2 linked regions of the Lytechinus pictus genome follow. The protein of the gene in region 2 binds, or shares a complex with, the protein of the main gene of each other region. Links are inferred from orthologs where the notes say so. Each region holds a gene or a part of one and is shown on either strand. Other genes may lie near its edges.

Evidence for each region.
Region 1: the proteins of GPI transamidase component PIG-T-like (region 2) and GPI transamidase component PIG-S-like are in contact, whole or in part, in a cryo-EM structure (PDB 8IMY), measured with the Homo sapiens proteins. The link is inferred for Lytechinus pictus from reciprocal best matches to the Homo sapiens genes PIGT and PIGS. Residues at the interface, in NP_057021.2 of Homo sapiens: Pro26, Arg27, Val63, Ser64, His65, Tyr66, Arg67, Lys71, Gln75, Lys79, Tyr80, Val133, Gly136, Lys191, Leu193, Pro194, Cys195, Ser196, Lys198, Ala199, Glu270, Pro271, Pro273, Leu274, Tyr526, Ile529, Cys530, Cys533, Val536, Ala537; in NP_149975.1 of Homo sapiens: Thr9, Glu12, Val13, Gly16, Ala19, Ala20, Phe23, Thr230, Pro238, Lys239, Tyr244, Ile247, Glu248, Val251, Gln256, Val270, Asp271, Ser272, Gln273, Ile274, Tyr276, Tyr277, Met279, Ser309, Arg310, Ser313, Ser314, Ala315, Ala316, Phe513.

The regions. Positions count from the first base shown.
Region 1 is NC_087245.1:38,640,887-38,647,807, forward strand, and holds the start of GPI transamidase component PIG-S-like, read left to right. Parts: upstream 1-3,908; 5' UTR 3,909-4,016; coding exon 4,017-4,053; intron 4,054-6,921. UniProt on the Homo sapiens protein: Component of the glycosylphosphatidylinositol-anchor (GPI-anchor) transamidase (GPI-T) complex that catalyzes the formation of the linkage between a proprotein and a GPI-anchor and participates in GPI anchored protein biosynthesis.
Region 2 is NC_087246.1:41,755,638-41,763,569, reverse strand, and holds the start of GPI transamidase component PIG-T-like, read right to left. Parts: upstream 3,018-7,932; coding exon 3,001-3,017; intron 2,720-3,000; coding exon 2,661-2,719; intron 2,265-2,660; coding exon 2,155-2,264; intron 1,637-2,154; coding exon 1,355-1,636; intron 1-1,354. UniProt on the Homo sapiens protein: Component of the glycosylphosphatidylinositol-anchor (GPI-anchor) transamidase (GPI-T) complex that catalyzes the formation of the linkage between a proprotein and a GPI-anchor and participates in GPI anchored protein biosynthesis.

The DNA of each region.
Region 1 (6,921 bases), on a different chromosome or scaffold from region 2:
TATTTATTGTTTTGCTCTAGCATTTTAGTCATTCATGGGATTTTAATCCGATGAGTGCATGTCTAAAAGCTTCAGTATGTCTGTTGTAAGGCTATTTTACGATAATAAATGTTAGTAAGTGCGACTCTAAGTAGAGTTAAGTCATACCCCAAGATCCAACCTTGTTCACTGAATAAATGCCCAGATCCAGCTCATCAATTACTTAGCATGATTAGTTACGAACAAACTACAGCTGGCAGCCGTCTGTTTCGAGGAGTTTTTTAACATTTTCATTTTTTTTTAATTTCTCCTCATACACAGACGGCTCGCGATCGTGCAGCTGCCATTAGGGGGTTAACAATGCAAAATCCCCCAACGGGGCTCATTCATAGATTTTTGTCTTTATTTCATAAAAATATACAAAAAGAACTGGACCAAAATTAAGATTATTATTTCGTTTTGGCCTGAAATGCACCAAAATGGGGAAAAATAAACTTAAATTAAAAGGAAAAAAACTTTAAAAAGTGACTTGCTTCGGCTGTCGCGCAACTCCCACTTCCCTGGTTTATCTGAACTTAATACATAAACATATGGCCATTGAGTCCCTGTACAGATCGAGTTAGAACTTCAGTCTCTGTAATAATTAGTGAGTGGAGCCAACGGAGTTGAGCTTCAGCCAAACAAATATAACAGAGACAGAAGCTTTTATTTTTGTTTTAAGTTTTGGTCTACAAGTACAATAGTACTACAAACAAACATGCCCGATAATATTTAATAAATTAAAATAAATGTTCATCCGAGCATTTATTTTTTTTCAGTCTATGCCCATAATCAAATTAATATGGCACAGTCACACAATGTTGTGATGATCGCGATCGTGATCTTGGCCATTTCATTTCAGGCCAAGGCCAATGGCAATGCCGTATTCCCAGGCCAAGGCTACGGGCAGAGCCGGGGGCAGGGCCTGGCGGACATGGGCCATGCCCATGGCGGAGCAAAGGATAAGCTGGTGCGGAAATTCCAACCTCAATGTGCACCTGCCATTTATTATTACTAACTCACCGGATCTGTTTGTTTCCCTTCTTACAGTCAAAGTTTTATCTCTGTATATCATCCAAACAATGTCAACATTCGAAATGTAAATAAATGTAAACTATCTCATTTCTTCCCACAATTTTGCTGCCCATGATTGATCTACAAAAGGCGCAGCAGACGTACGTGACGTGATCGATCGAAAGGTCCTTGTCACATGCTAATATTCTTTGTCACGTGATATTCAGGAAATGGTATATTCTTTCTGATCTGGGATAGTCAGAGGGATTTTTTATAGAGGGGCCGATTTCACGAAAGGGTCTTTCCAAGGACCGTCTTTCGTGTCGCCCATCTTTTATGACGCACTGTATGCTGGATAATTCTTAAATGTACGATAAACAAATAAAATTTGTTTGCTAGCATTTAAATCAATTTGTATACAATTTCATGATATAGCACATCATTATGTAAATAAAGATTTGAATAAAATATGTTTGCAGGTAATTTATTTAAAATGCGTTTAATTCACATGGCGCATCTTAATAAATGGGCGACACGAAAGACGGTTCTTGCAAAGACCCTTTCGTGCAATAGGCCCCATATCTCTATGAGAGATACTGATAATATATCTCTATATATGGGGATAGGATTCTCTTCTCGGGGGGGGGGGGGTCCTCAAGGGTAGGGCTAGGGAAGGAGGAGTGGGTCACTGCATGGGTGTTGATCCCGGATAGCCTGGATTATATTCACGGTAGAGGGCCGTCACGTGATGATATGATAATGAAGATAGTAGAATTAAGGGAATAGAATATATTTTCAGTTCCAGGCCCGGATCCAGCTTTTGCCAATAGGGGGAGGTAGCAGAAAGATATTTTCATCCAGCTGATTTGGGGTTAGTTTTTTCGAGGGGGCATGCATGCATGCAGTCCTATAAACTTTTTGAGTACATTTGATATATCTCAGCTTTACTCTCAATTAAGCAGAGCCTTAATAAATCATGCGAGTGCAATTAATACCCGAACGGCATATTTATGGTTATATTCCCGGGATTTAAAGGAGAATGAAACCCTTGAAACCAGCTGAATCCATATCAAAGAGAAAAATCAAAGAAACATTTTGTTGAAAGTTTGAGGAAGATTGAATGAATAATAAGAAAGTTATGAGCATTTGAATATTGAGATCACTAGTGCCATGTAGATCCTCCCATCGGCAATGCGACCAAGATCTGTGATATCACACACGTACAACTCCCTCATTACTTTGGTACTTATTTCACTTATATTCTCACTTTTATAGAGTCTATCACAAGGTGAGGTGTTCTCTTTATGAGATGACAAGTACAGAGGTTTCACAACATTATATCATTGATGAATCGTTTGTCATATGATTAGAATGAGCAAAAAGAAATGTTTTGGGGTATATTTTCAGTGTCCAAATGGGAGAGTTGTACGTGTGTGACATCACAGATCTTGGTCGCATTGCCAATGGGAGGATCTCCATAGCATTAGTGATCTCGACATTCAAATGCTCATAACTCTTTTATTGCTAGTCCTATTTTACTCAAACTTTTGTTGATCTTATTTTTTGATTTTTCTGCTTTCACAAAAGCTAACTTGCTCCAAGTGTTTCATTCTCCTTTAAGGAATAATTTTTTAATTCACAACATTTCAAAACTTATTTATTTCTGGAGTTTGGATTTTATGTTTGGCTATAACTTGCAGATATTTCCATCGGAGCAATTTTCGCCGGAGCAAATGTAAGGTGCAACCATCTTTATCTTTCTATCTATCTATCTATCTATTTAATATCTATCTATTTATATATCTTTCTATCTATCTATCTATATATCTATCTATCTATTTTTCTATCTATATCTATCTATCTTCTATCTATCTATCTATCTATTTCTTCTTCTTCTTTTCCTTTCTTTCGTTCGTTTGTTCATTTGTCTGTTCATTTGTTTCTTCGTTCGCTCGCTCATTCACTCGTTCGTTCATTCATTTGTTCATTCAGTCAGTCAGTCATTCATTTATTCATTGATCATTCCGTTCATTTAGGCCTACTCACTTTAGTTCAAATACAATCAAAGGACAAGTCCACCCCATCAAAAAGTTTATTTGAATAAAAAGAGAACGTTCCAACAAGCATAACACTGAAAAAAGTTATGACATTTTAAAGTTTCGCTTAATTTCACAAAACAGTTATATGCACATCCTGGTCGGTATAAAAATGAGGAACCTAACGATGTCATCCACGTCACTATATCTTTTGTATTTTATTTTATGAAATGTGAAATATTTTATCTCCTCATTGTCAAGTGAAACAATGATTAATTCCTCCATGATCATGTGGAAGTAGCATATTATTTAATACTATATGGTTCAGTCAAGTTGGTCCTTATTGTCAAAACTGTAAAAAATGAAATATTGTAGAATTCAAACAATAAAAAACAAAAGAAATAGTGAGTGAAGTACATCATCGACTGTCTCATTTGCATGTCACTGAGTTGTACATAATCACGGTTTTGTGAAAAATAAGCGAAACTTTAAAAAGTCATAACTTTCTTGTTTTACCTCCGATTTTGATGAAATTTTGAAAGTTATGCTAGTCTGATTTTTCTCTATTATTGATTTTTTTTTTTCTGGGGTGGACTTAAGTAAATTATCTCTGGCCTTAGCTCTCATGCAGCATTGAGACTACAAAGAAGAAAAATGCAAAGATATGCGATAAAAAATAATGTATGAAAATAAGATTAGAGCAAAAGTACTGGAAACACAACAAAAGCTACAATATCCCCCCCCCCCCCAAAAAAAAAAAGATGCGCTAATAGCAGACGACGCCGGTCGTCGCGATATCGGGTAGTCGGGTACCCGCGGCCGCGCGCGCGCAATACCGGTATCGCCTGGAAAATTTGTAGATTTGACCGAGTCTGAGTCTGAGACTGTGAGACTCTGAGTGAAATTTTGGCGTAAATTGCTGATTCAGCATTTATTTGCTCCTCAACTATGGCTAAACAAGGGTCAGAACGCGAGGAGAGTTCAGGTAAATAAGATAAAATTATAACTTTGTTAAATATTTTTTCTAGTGTCGATTAATTAAGTTCCAGCTACCAATCAGTATCTCAGTGACCTTCGGTCCCATGTGTGGAGATTGGTGTAACGTATGCGCGTCTTTCTTGTAATAAGTTGTTAAACTTAAAAATTAAGACTTTGTGTGTCATATGTTAGCTATAGAGTAGGGCCTAGACCTTATCGCAAATGGATATACGCAAAGGATCACGGGACCCCAGCTTGCATGCTTCCTCTTTCTTTCTTTTTCTTTCTTCCTTCCTTAATTTTTAATCCTTACTTGCTACCTTTCTTTCTTTCTGGCGAAGTTTCTCTTTTTTCGTTTCTAATTCTATCCTTTCTTCTATCTTTCCCGCTTGCCTTTTTTGTTCCATCTATCTTTTCAATCTTTCCTAGCTTTCTTTCCTGATCTTTTTTCTCTCTCTCTATGTTCATTATTCTTTGTTTCCTTTGCTTTGTTTTCTTGTACTTTCCTTCTTTCTTTAAATTTCTTCATTTTTTTTTTTGCTTCCTTGGCTTCTCCCTTCCTCTCCTTTTTCTTTTTCCGAAGTTTTTGTTCTTTCTTTCTTTTCCTTCTTCCATTATTTTCTTCTTTTTAAAAAATTCTCTCTTCACTTCATTCTTTCCTTCCACTAAAGTTTCATCCTTTCGTTCTGTATCTTCTTTCCTTCTCTTTTTCCTTATTCTTTCTTTCCTTTTTTCCTTCCTTCCTGAAATTCCCCTTTCTTTCTTTCTTTCTCTTTCTTTCTTTGTTTTCTTTTTTTTCTTAAAAAAAATGCAGGAAATCTTTTTTCTTCATTCTCTCTTTCTCCTCTTTTTCTTACTTTCTTCCTCCCCCCCCCCCCCCCCCGGCTTTTTTATTTCTTTCCATTCTTTCTTTCACCCATTAATTCATTTTCCCTTTCTTTCGTTTTCCTGTTCTTTTCTTTCCCTTTTTCTTTATTGATTTCAAAGAATGGAGGAAACCTTTTTTTTTCTTTCCTTTATTCTTTCTTTCTTCTCCATTCATCTCTTTTCTTTCCTTTTTTTTCTTTCTCTCCTTCATCCTTTCCTTCACCCATTCATTCACCTTCCCTTTTTCTTTCTTTCTTTTTTTCTTTTCTTTCTTTTTTCCTTCCTTCCTTCCTTTCCTTCTTTTTTTAGTTATTTTCAGTGATTCCCCTTTTTATTTTGTGTCACGTTCATATACAAAAGCACATGAAAATATATGAGGGAGAAAATTAATCAAATGGTGTATTGACACCAATTTCGGTCATAGGAGGTAAAATCACTCCTAGTACCAATGAGGTCCAAACATTACATGTATGGACCTCATAGGCGACATAAGTGATAAAACCGGTTAGACATTGCCGTTTCTATTTGCACCCAAGGACTTTGGCAAATGTACGCCTTAATACAAATTGGATGGTAAAATTTTTGGTATGAATTAGTTTTAAACATCATAAATAATCTTTTACAATGTTTAAAAGTTAATGGATTGAGGTTAAACTTACATTTTCAGTCTTTTTTCTTGAATTCTTGGTGAGCGTTCCAAACGCTGTGAGGACTGATCAACTCCGATGTGATTCACGTACTGGTCAGCTGATCGGTCAGGTGATCGGTTGTTATCGGTTGGTTATCTTATTGTCAGACGTTCATAATTTATATTACAATATATCAATCTTCAGTATCTTGATTTCAAGCATCAGTATTGCAGAGAAAAGTCATTATACTAGATTGGAATCAGTGGCAGATCGGGGGGGGGGGGGGTTGAGCATTTCTGGCCTGTTCCACCTTTTGAGATTCATAGTCAATATTTTGGATGTAAAAAAGAAAATATGTCGTTCATACAAAGTTATGTCCCCCCCCCCCCCCCCACCTAGCTCCCTTATGAGAATCACAGCAATATTTGTAATGGGGATATTTTGTTCATATTCTTTGCCCTTTTTTGCTTCTCAAATTTATTTTACTTTGAACAATATGACTTTCTATATTTAGTGACAAACTTTTTTATGGGGGGGTGGGGGGCTTGCCAAATATAACGCAGGACAAGATGACCTTCTTTTTTTAGTGACAACTTCTTTTTTTTGTCAAATTTTACGAGAGACAAAATGACCTTCGATCATTATTAGTTAAACCTTTTTTTTTGGGGGGGGGTAGGGGGCTCGCCAAATAGTGACACACTTTTTTGTAAAATTTTACGCAAGAAAAAATGATCTTCAATCATTATCAGTTACCTTTCATTCGTTTTTTTTTGGGGGGGGGGGGGCTTGCCAAATTTTATGTGGGACAAATGACCTTCATTTTTTAGTGATTTTTTTTTTATACTTGACAAATTTTAAGAGGAACAAAATGGCCTTCAATCATTTTTAGTTAGAACCTTTTTTTTTTGGGGGGGGGGGGCTTGCCAAATATTTCACAGACAAAATGAACTTCAATTTTAGTGACCAGCTTTTTATTACTTTTAAAATTTCACGCAGGACAAAATGACCTTCACTTTTTTTTTTATGTTAACCTGGGGGGGGGGGCTTGCCAAATATTACACGGACAAAATGACAGTATTTTATTTTTAGTGACCATTTTTTTAAATACTTTTTTTCAAGCTCGTCAGGGGGGCAGGGATACGTCATTTGCATGGGTTGTGACTCATCGGGGGGGGGGGGGGCAGTGTCTGCCCCCCCTTGCTCCCCCCCCCCCCGTAGGTACGCTAGTGCTCGGGACCTACATTACGTAACTTTTATCTTCCACATATATATATATATATGCCCCCTCTTATATACCCCTGTTATGCCCCTGCACAGACTCGTCTACATTGATTTCGATATTTAAGCGTCATTATAAAATTATAACAAAATGAGCGCCT
Region 2 (7,932 bases):
CCGGAGAATTTTATTCTATTTGAGAAAAAAAAATCCAGAATTTTCTTGGTTGACATCAGGGCAACCATGGCGGGACTTTCAGGTTGCCCACTGGTAGTTTTGGTTGCCAATGGCACCCAGGCAGCCGCTAATTTCGAGCCCTGCCCTTAACCCTATCTAGGCCGGGGTATTTTGGAAGTTCATATGGCCGGGGGGGGGGTCCTCCCAGCCCCCCCTGTGAGATCTCGGCCGTTGGCCATGCAATCGCACTGAAAATTGGCACGCAGGTTGTCTGGGATATAATGCTATTTATTGCTATAAATTATATTATACAAATTGCTATTAAGTGATTATGCTAATTATGGGGGGAGGGGGGGGGCGGTCCTCCCAGGCCCCCCTTGAGATCTCGGCCATTGGCCATGCAATCGCGCCGAAAATTGGCACGCAGGTTGTCTGGGACATAATGTACAATATTGTATAGTAATTTATTTCATGCAAATTGCTATTAGGGTTTATGCTATTATTTATGCGTAATTAGTATGTGAAATCATATTTTTCCCTTAGCTCCCTAAATAAAGCTCAAAATGTTCTAATTTTTGGTATAAAAAACGTTGTGCTGTTCTTAGCAAGTGTACATTAAAAAATTGTTATATCAGATCAATTTCTTATGTATTATATTGTTTTTTGCAATTTCTTATGTATTTCTTTGTTTTTTTGGACCTTTCGCTTTTCATTGTTTTTACAATGAAATTTGTAGGGGACTCTTCTGAGATCATAAACAGCATAAAATAAATACATTTAGACTGGCAAAACTAAAAATAATCATACATTTATGATTTTTGGTTGAAAACACAGTTTGCATTGACTTTGTACACGAAATCATGTTTTTAAGCAAATTTTTGGTCTGACATGCACTTACATAATGTTGCGTAATTTCGGAACGGCGTACCTGGATGACACAAAACTGGTCTCAAAAGTTGTACAAGACTTGAAAGTAAAAATTCAGCAAGCGACGTGGTCAAAAAATTTCGCACGGCGAAAATATTGCTCGAATCACAATAGTTGCACTACTACAAGTTCTCATGGCAAACAATACAGGTTATGAACCCGTGAAGAACTCTTAGCTTGCTGGCCCAATGCCCGCGAAAAAAATGCAGGTGCCAAAATCACGGCTGCACAGGCTGGTTATGTGACTCCGCGATGGCCGCAGGGGTTCTCTATTGATATACAAATTCAACCTCATGAACTTCACGGCATGAGAGCTCAGATATTAACGTCTCACCTTACTAAATGAAGTATTTTGGTATAACAATGTACAAAACTTACATAAACTGAAGTAAAAGTGTTCATTGAAGTTGAATCCAAACAGACTTACATAATTCTTTGATAAATCCACGATTACCCTGCTGCTAGATGCCATTGGACATGGACCACTCAAAACCTTCCCAAACAGGACTCTCAAAGAAACATCTTGGCGAGTGCCTTGTCTGTTCTGTGCCAAGGGTCCAAAGACAACATTCAGTGATTGACTGAGCTGTACTGCTGACTCCCTACAAGGGATCATTCCTGACCGACAAACTGGTCGTATATCGACTGCCAAGGAATGATAATGGGCATTGTACAACTTATCAGCTTTGAAGAGTGATGCCAGACCAGCCTTCCAAGAAAAAAAAAGATGAACAAGTTATCAACATTTTTTTATAACATCGTGCACCATGCACATCACAGAGTTGTTTTATACTTTAAGAGAATGAATATATATATAATGCAACAGAATGTATTTCTGCTTAATTCCTAAATTTACATTCATAAATTATTCCTTAAAGAAAATGTTTTCTTGTATGGCTTTGTAGATATTAGAAAATATGTCTACAAGGCATCACTTTGAGGAATTCACAAACTGTAGATAAATGTACCCTATAAAATTCATTCAGCCTCTTGGAGGCATCTCACAAATTTGGTGTAGCAAGCCAGAAATCAGTCCTGACTAAACAAGAATTTCAGTCCACTCTTTCCTGAAATACTAGGATTATTCTAAAATCCTCAAATATACAAGGATAAATATCAAACACACGTTATTGAAATCCTGCTTACCTTAAACCTATAATGAGATACCAATATTATACAATAAATAATACATGCACTTTTAAAGCAAAAATTAATTTAATCACATACCTTTGAGTCACAAGGAAGCAGTTTTTTCCAGGGGGTCAAGTTCTCAGTGCATACCACCTCACGTGGAAGACTGGCATGGCGAAGAAGACTTGTGTTTCTACCATATGCTTCTGTGTACATCAAATTAAATTGAAAAAAAAAAAAAAATTTAATTCATGCAACAGCTCATACAAAATCTTTTACAGTGTTTCTATGTAATATATTACAAGCATGACTTGACATTTATACGTTGTAACATAGACCGAATAAGACCAAATGGCTGCTAACTAAGTGACAGTATCTCCCTAGATACTTCATTATCACCATATATACCATCTCTCAATCATATATTTCATATTACGTTGATAGTTCTTACTACCCTTGTTGACTTGTAACTAATAATATTTATCATGTCTTATAAAGGAGATAAATTTGTTAATAAATCCAACATTGAGACCAGTGGAAGATTCAATATCTTGAACGATGAACTGGAAGGTGATGCTGCCGACCCTACTGGCCCAGCTAACCATGCTGCACGCTCCACCACTTCCCCTGGCCATACCTCAGCTTACAGTCCATCTTAAAGCTGCAACAGACAATTTCGAGAAGATCATGGAAAAGGCAGTCAAGTCAATGCAAGATAGCATAAAAAGAACCAGAGGACCTTGGAATTTGAGAGTCACAGAATAACTGAATTAAAAGGGAAAAACCTGGACCCGGAGAAGCACCTTGAATAGCAAGAGAAGGCAAACCAAGTGTTAGAAAAGAGGGCTGCTAGCCAAGATGATGAGATGAACTTAGCTGAATGTATAGTAAAGAACGACACTCAGTCAGTGAGTGTCTTATTTACGAATGAGGCATACTCACCTGTCCCTGTTAAACATTGCTATTCACCCCCACCCCACCCTCAACAACACTGGTAAGATCTCCCACATAATTTCTGCATGCCCCTGGCACATACAGCGTGCAACCCGTCAGGGTCACCTTGTGACCTACATCCCTCGTCACTTCCTCTTTCACGACCGCGCGCCCTTCCAACAACACATAAGTGCATTGTACAGGTGATAAAATGCAACTTTTGTGCCTCTAATTTTCTTTTTCTTACACCGCTGCCGATGTCTGAGTTCAAATCCGCCTGATAAAGAACCCAATATTGCAGTGGGCATGGAAACCCCACCAAGTACTGAACATGAGAACACAACCTCGCCGGCGGGCAGAAAAAACCTGCCAGCAGGCACAGAGAGCGCGGGTGCGTTGGCTACCCGCTCAAATTTTGTCCCATCATTGCCCCGGCCTAAAAAAGGGAGTAGATTGGAAAAAATATCCAAGGATTGACCTATCGCTAAACGTCCCCTTGTGCAGGCTGGGAATGTCCCCCTGGCGGTCTCCTTCCCAGACCCTATAGTGATATGGAGACTTCGATGGCTATTTATACAAGCCGACCATGTACATACCCCCTTCCCCGTAACTACTTGTAAGTTGCATCGAGCGAGCGGAGGTGCGGACTGGCCTGGACGGACGTACATCAACACATTATTTCGAAATTTGAATCGAGCTCAGCCTAGAGTACAGGGTCAGAGACCAGACAAGAATTATCGAGAACAGCAAAGATTTCACGGTTCGAACGTTGTAAATTATTCTATACTATTGTTTATACAGTACTTACTATTCGTGCTAGAGTAAGAATAAGTATACTCAATTTGATATAAAACCAAAAGAGTAACAAATCATGACGAAAACCTCAATTTGAGAACACTATACCTCAGTTTCCCTTCTCATCAATTCTCTTCTCCAAGTAAGACAAAGAGGCTGTTCTCACTACGTTCCTAAAACTAGTTTACTGGGAACCGGTTCAGAAAGCCAGTTTGGAAGATCGCTTTGCTAGCGTTCTCACTTGATCACACGAAAGTGGTTTTCAAAATCACTTCACGTAAAGCGCTCTTGTTGCTATGGAAACGCTCTCAGTGGGGTGACACGTTTCGCGCGAAATTCGAAACCGCAGCATAGGCATTCTACACCTGTCGTGTGGAGTAGCGCGCTCAAAATGTGCGAAGATCGCTTCCCGAAGAACGGTTGTGTCCTCACTTACGCTAAAACCACTTTTCCGATGCGAAGCGATCTTGAAAACTACATCGCGAGGTGGTCTTCCAAACTGGTTTGGAAGAGCGCTTCCAAGAGCGCTTCGACCGTTCTCACTTAGCGTTAAACTAGTTTCCACTAAACTAGTTTCAGGAACTGAGTGAGAACAGCCTCATACCCTAACTGTACCAAGCAAGCAGTTTAAGTATCAAAACACCTGTTTCTTGACCTCGGTCTGAAGATAACACAACAGCCCGGCATATACAGTCACAGCAGGGGGCCACACACGATGGATTGCGATGTGTGTAGTTCTGGTGAGTGTCTAATACCCCTTTCATAAACCCAATAAAACATATCCTCCAATTAGCCGCCTAAGAGTAATGCGGATAATTCAATAAAAATTGCGTTCACAAACTCCATAAATTATTTTTACGAGCGCCCGTCTTGAAAAAGGCGGATAATCGTCATGACAACTGGACAATAATTTTGCTGATTAAATAGTCAAGTACAAACACTGCCTGAAACAATTATTGGCAAAGCACGAGAAGACTGAAAATATAGCAGGTCAATGGAATAATGTATCATTGAATGTTCCAAATAATATCTACAACATTTTCATGATCCATAATAGGGGCAGCCCTGATTTTTCCGAACCTATTTTTGGCAATGTCCCGTACCACACATGAAAGTGCAAAAGTTTTTCCTACAATTTTTTTTTTGATGATGCAATTTCACAAAATCAGTTTCTCTATCTTTGACCCATGGGTGATCGATTTATCCCATAAGGATCTAATTACTGTCCTTCATTTTTCAATAATTGTCCTATTAATAGTTGTCCCGTACGACACACAATACATAATGCATTTAATTACATGATTTGGATTCAGAAACTATAAATAGTAGACCTATTTTAATTCAAGTAATTGATTTGACATAAAGTGTACTGAAAAGGTACTTTTTTTATCTCCATAGAACATGAAATAGGTGATTCTAACCATTTTAATTGATTTCATGTAGGCGTATTCTTTTTTGAATCCCTCCAGCTAAACTGGTGATTTTCTTTGGTCAGAGCAGGTTAATTTCTTTGTCATTGAGCGTGAAAAGAAAACCTTTATAATTGATTCACCCTAGCCTGGAAGATGACTTCCTCTTGCATGCTAATGTGGAATTATTATAAGATGTAAAAAAATTACATATCAATCATCTATTTGGACTTCCCTTGATGATCACTTACTTTTTTATATACAATATTGAAACTCCTTACTTTTTTCAAGTTGTAAAAAAAATCTGGAAAATAAGACAAACCATGTTGTTCACAAAAAAATCTGGAAAATAAGACAAACCATATGGTTTCATGAAATGCAGAAAGGTTTGAACAAGTAGAAAAAAATTTCTTTAGAAAAATATATTTTGTGGAATTACAAGTGACAGTTGTCATGTATATATACATTTTATATGAAAAATTATAACATTTTAGCCCCATAATTTACACAAACAGTTTCATTCATTCATTGTTTAAATAGTGTATTGGAAATCATCAATTAATTCACTGAATATAACTTCACACAAAACCTCAAGTTTTTCAGCCCGTAAAAATGCTGTGAACCCTTGTACATTTCCCATCATGAAAATAAAATGATGACATATTGCTTCCGATTGTATATATTGAGGTTACTTAATTATATTGTCCTGAATGACTACTTATTAAAAGACTTTTCATTAAAAAGGAAGAATTTAGGGGCAATGCTCCCCTTCTGATTAATAAAAAGTTCATTGTTTTATTCAGGCTGCCGAGTACAACACGCAAGTGCCTGTACAACACTCAAGTGTCCCGTACGACACACAAGTGTCCCGTACGACACAGAAGTGTCCTGTACGACACACAAGTGTCCCGTACGACACATTATTTTGTTTATGATAATTGACAGAAATATTCAGCCAATAGCGGTTTCTAACATAATGAATGTCTTTAGTTTGATAGGATTATCATTATCATCAGCCAAATAAAGTGATTGAAGAAGTCAAAGAGACATAAAGTAAGAAAGTTTGGCTTCAATTTAGAGATGTCCCGTACGACACATTTTGAGTGTCCCGTACGCCACAATGTTCTCGAAAATTGCAATTTGCTTTATTTATTCATGAAGGATTATTTTGCTTTCTTTCATAGATGTGTTTGTTCTTGGGTAATTGAATATCAATTTGAGTTCAGTTTCTATGAAAATTATCTGTCCAACTCACAGACTTTAGAGTACAAACTTGAGGTTTCTAAAAAAGTCACTTTTTCTGCGTCCGTACGACACATTACTATTTTAAATCTGTATTATACAGGATGTGAATTCAAGTTATGTTAAGTCTTTGTTTTTCTAACACTCTGGTAGTACTTGATGATCACCTTTAGTTACTGGAATATATTTAGTTTTTCTTGTCAAAAAACTGTCAAATGTTCTCTAAATGTCCCGTACGACACGTATGGAATCACCCTTTACATGAATATGTCAGTTGGCCCAAAGGAGCCGCCATATTCAACTGCTAATACCCAAATGTTCTCCTTATTTGATAAATCTGCTGCTCTGAGGTCTGCTTGTTTGGAGCCGAGGCAAGGCCGAATAGAGAAAATGGTTGCCCCACAGAATTGGGTTTCAAGAACTTTAGGGGCTGCTGAAGCTGCCAAAGTGAAATCACCAGTAGTTCCCAGGTATATTTCATCCTGGAAATAATGCCTCAAAGAGCAGATGATATCTGTAAAGTAAAGACACCCAAACTATACATTCCCTCAAATGCAAGAGGGTTTCTAAGTGTCCACATATCCACAGGAACAAAAAATGAATGATTGAGTCCATGGTTTATGCAGATTTTCTGTATAAATTACGTTTATTTACTGCGTATATTAAAAAAATGTCCAATGCTGATGCACGCTTTTGTTACAGTGCGCCAAATCGAAGCCTGTTGCCGTGGTTATCCACACTAATTTATTGTTGAGTCCACTGTTTTAAATAATGAGTCAATTCTTCAAAAAGTGGATTCATGAATAAAATAGCATATCTTACCATGGTAACAGGCGTCAATTTGGTGCACTGTGACAAAAGCGCGCATCAGCATTGGAATGTTTTATACACGCGCCCGATACGCGCTAAATTAAGCGTAATTTATACAGGAAACTGCATAAGCCATGGATTCGACCTTGGTTTTCAAAACCACCTTTGTGAATTCGGGCCATTTTTACTTATTCAACACAATGCCTGTCATCACTGCAGTACTATCTTGCACCAAACTTTAAAGCCCTGCTCACAACACTAACAAATTTTTTCTGTTCAATTTCTCTATGACACACTTGAGGGAACATTTTGTGCAAATTTTAGCAAAATTCAAAGGGGTCAGGTTAACAACTCTCTGAAAATCAGGTAATTTGATGTGGATTGACCCAATTACTAATGACTTACTTCACATTTTTTTTGCAAATAATTCGTCAGAAGTGCCACTGATGGAACAGACTGAGAACATCTGTCGTCCCCCAAACCAAACAAAAACTTCTGCACGAAGTCCCATGTGTTTATATATTGCCATGGGTAATCTACATCTAGAATTTATATCAACTTGAAACAGATGTCCAAGGCAATGTAACAAAGGGCAACAATCGATGAGGCTTGCAGGCATTTCATTGATTTCAAAGAGGTGAGAAGGTGTTTCAACAACAGGTATAATAATTATTTCTGATGACTT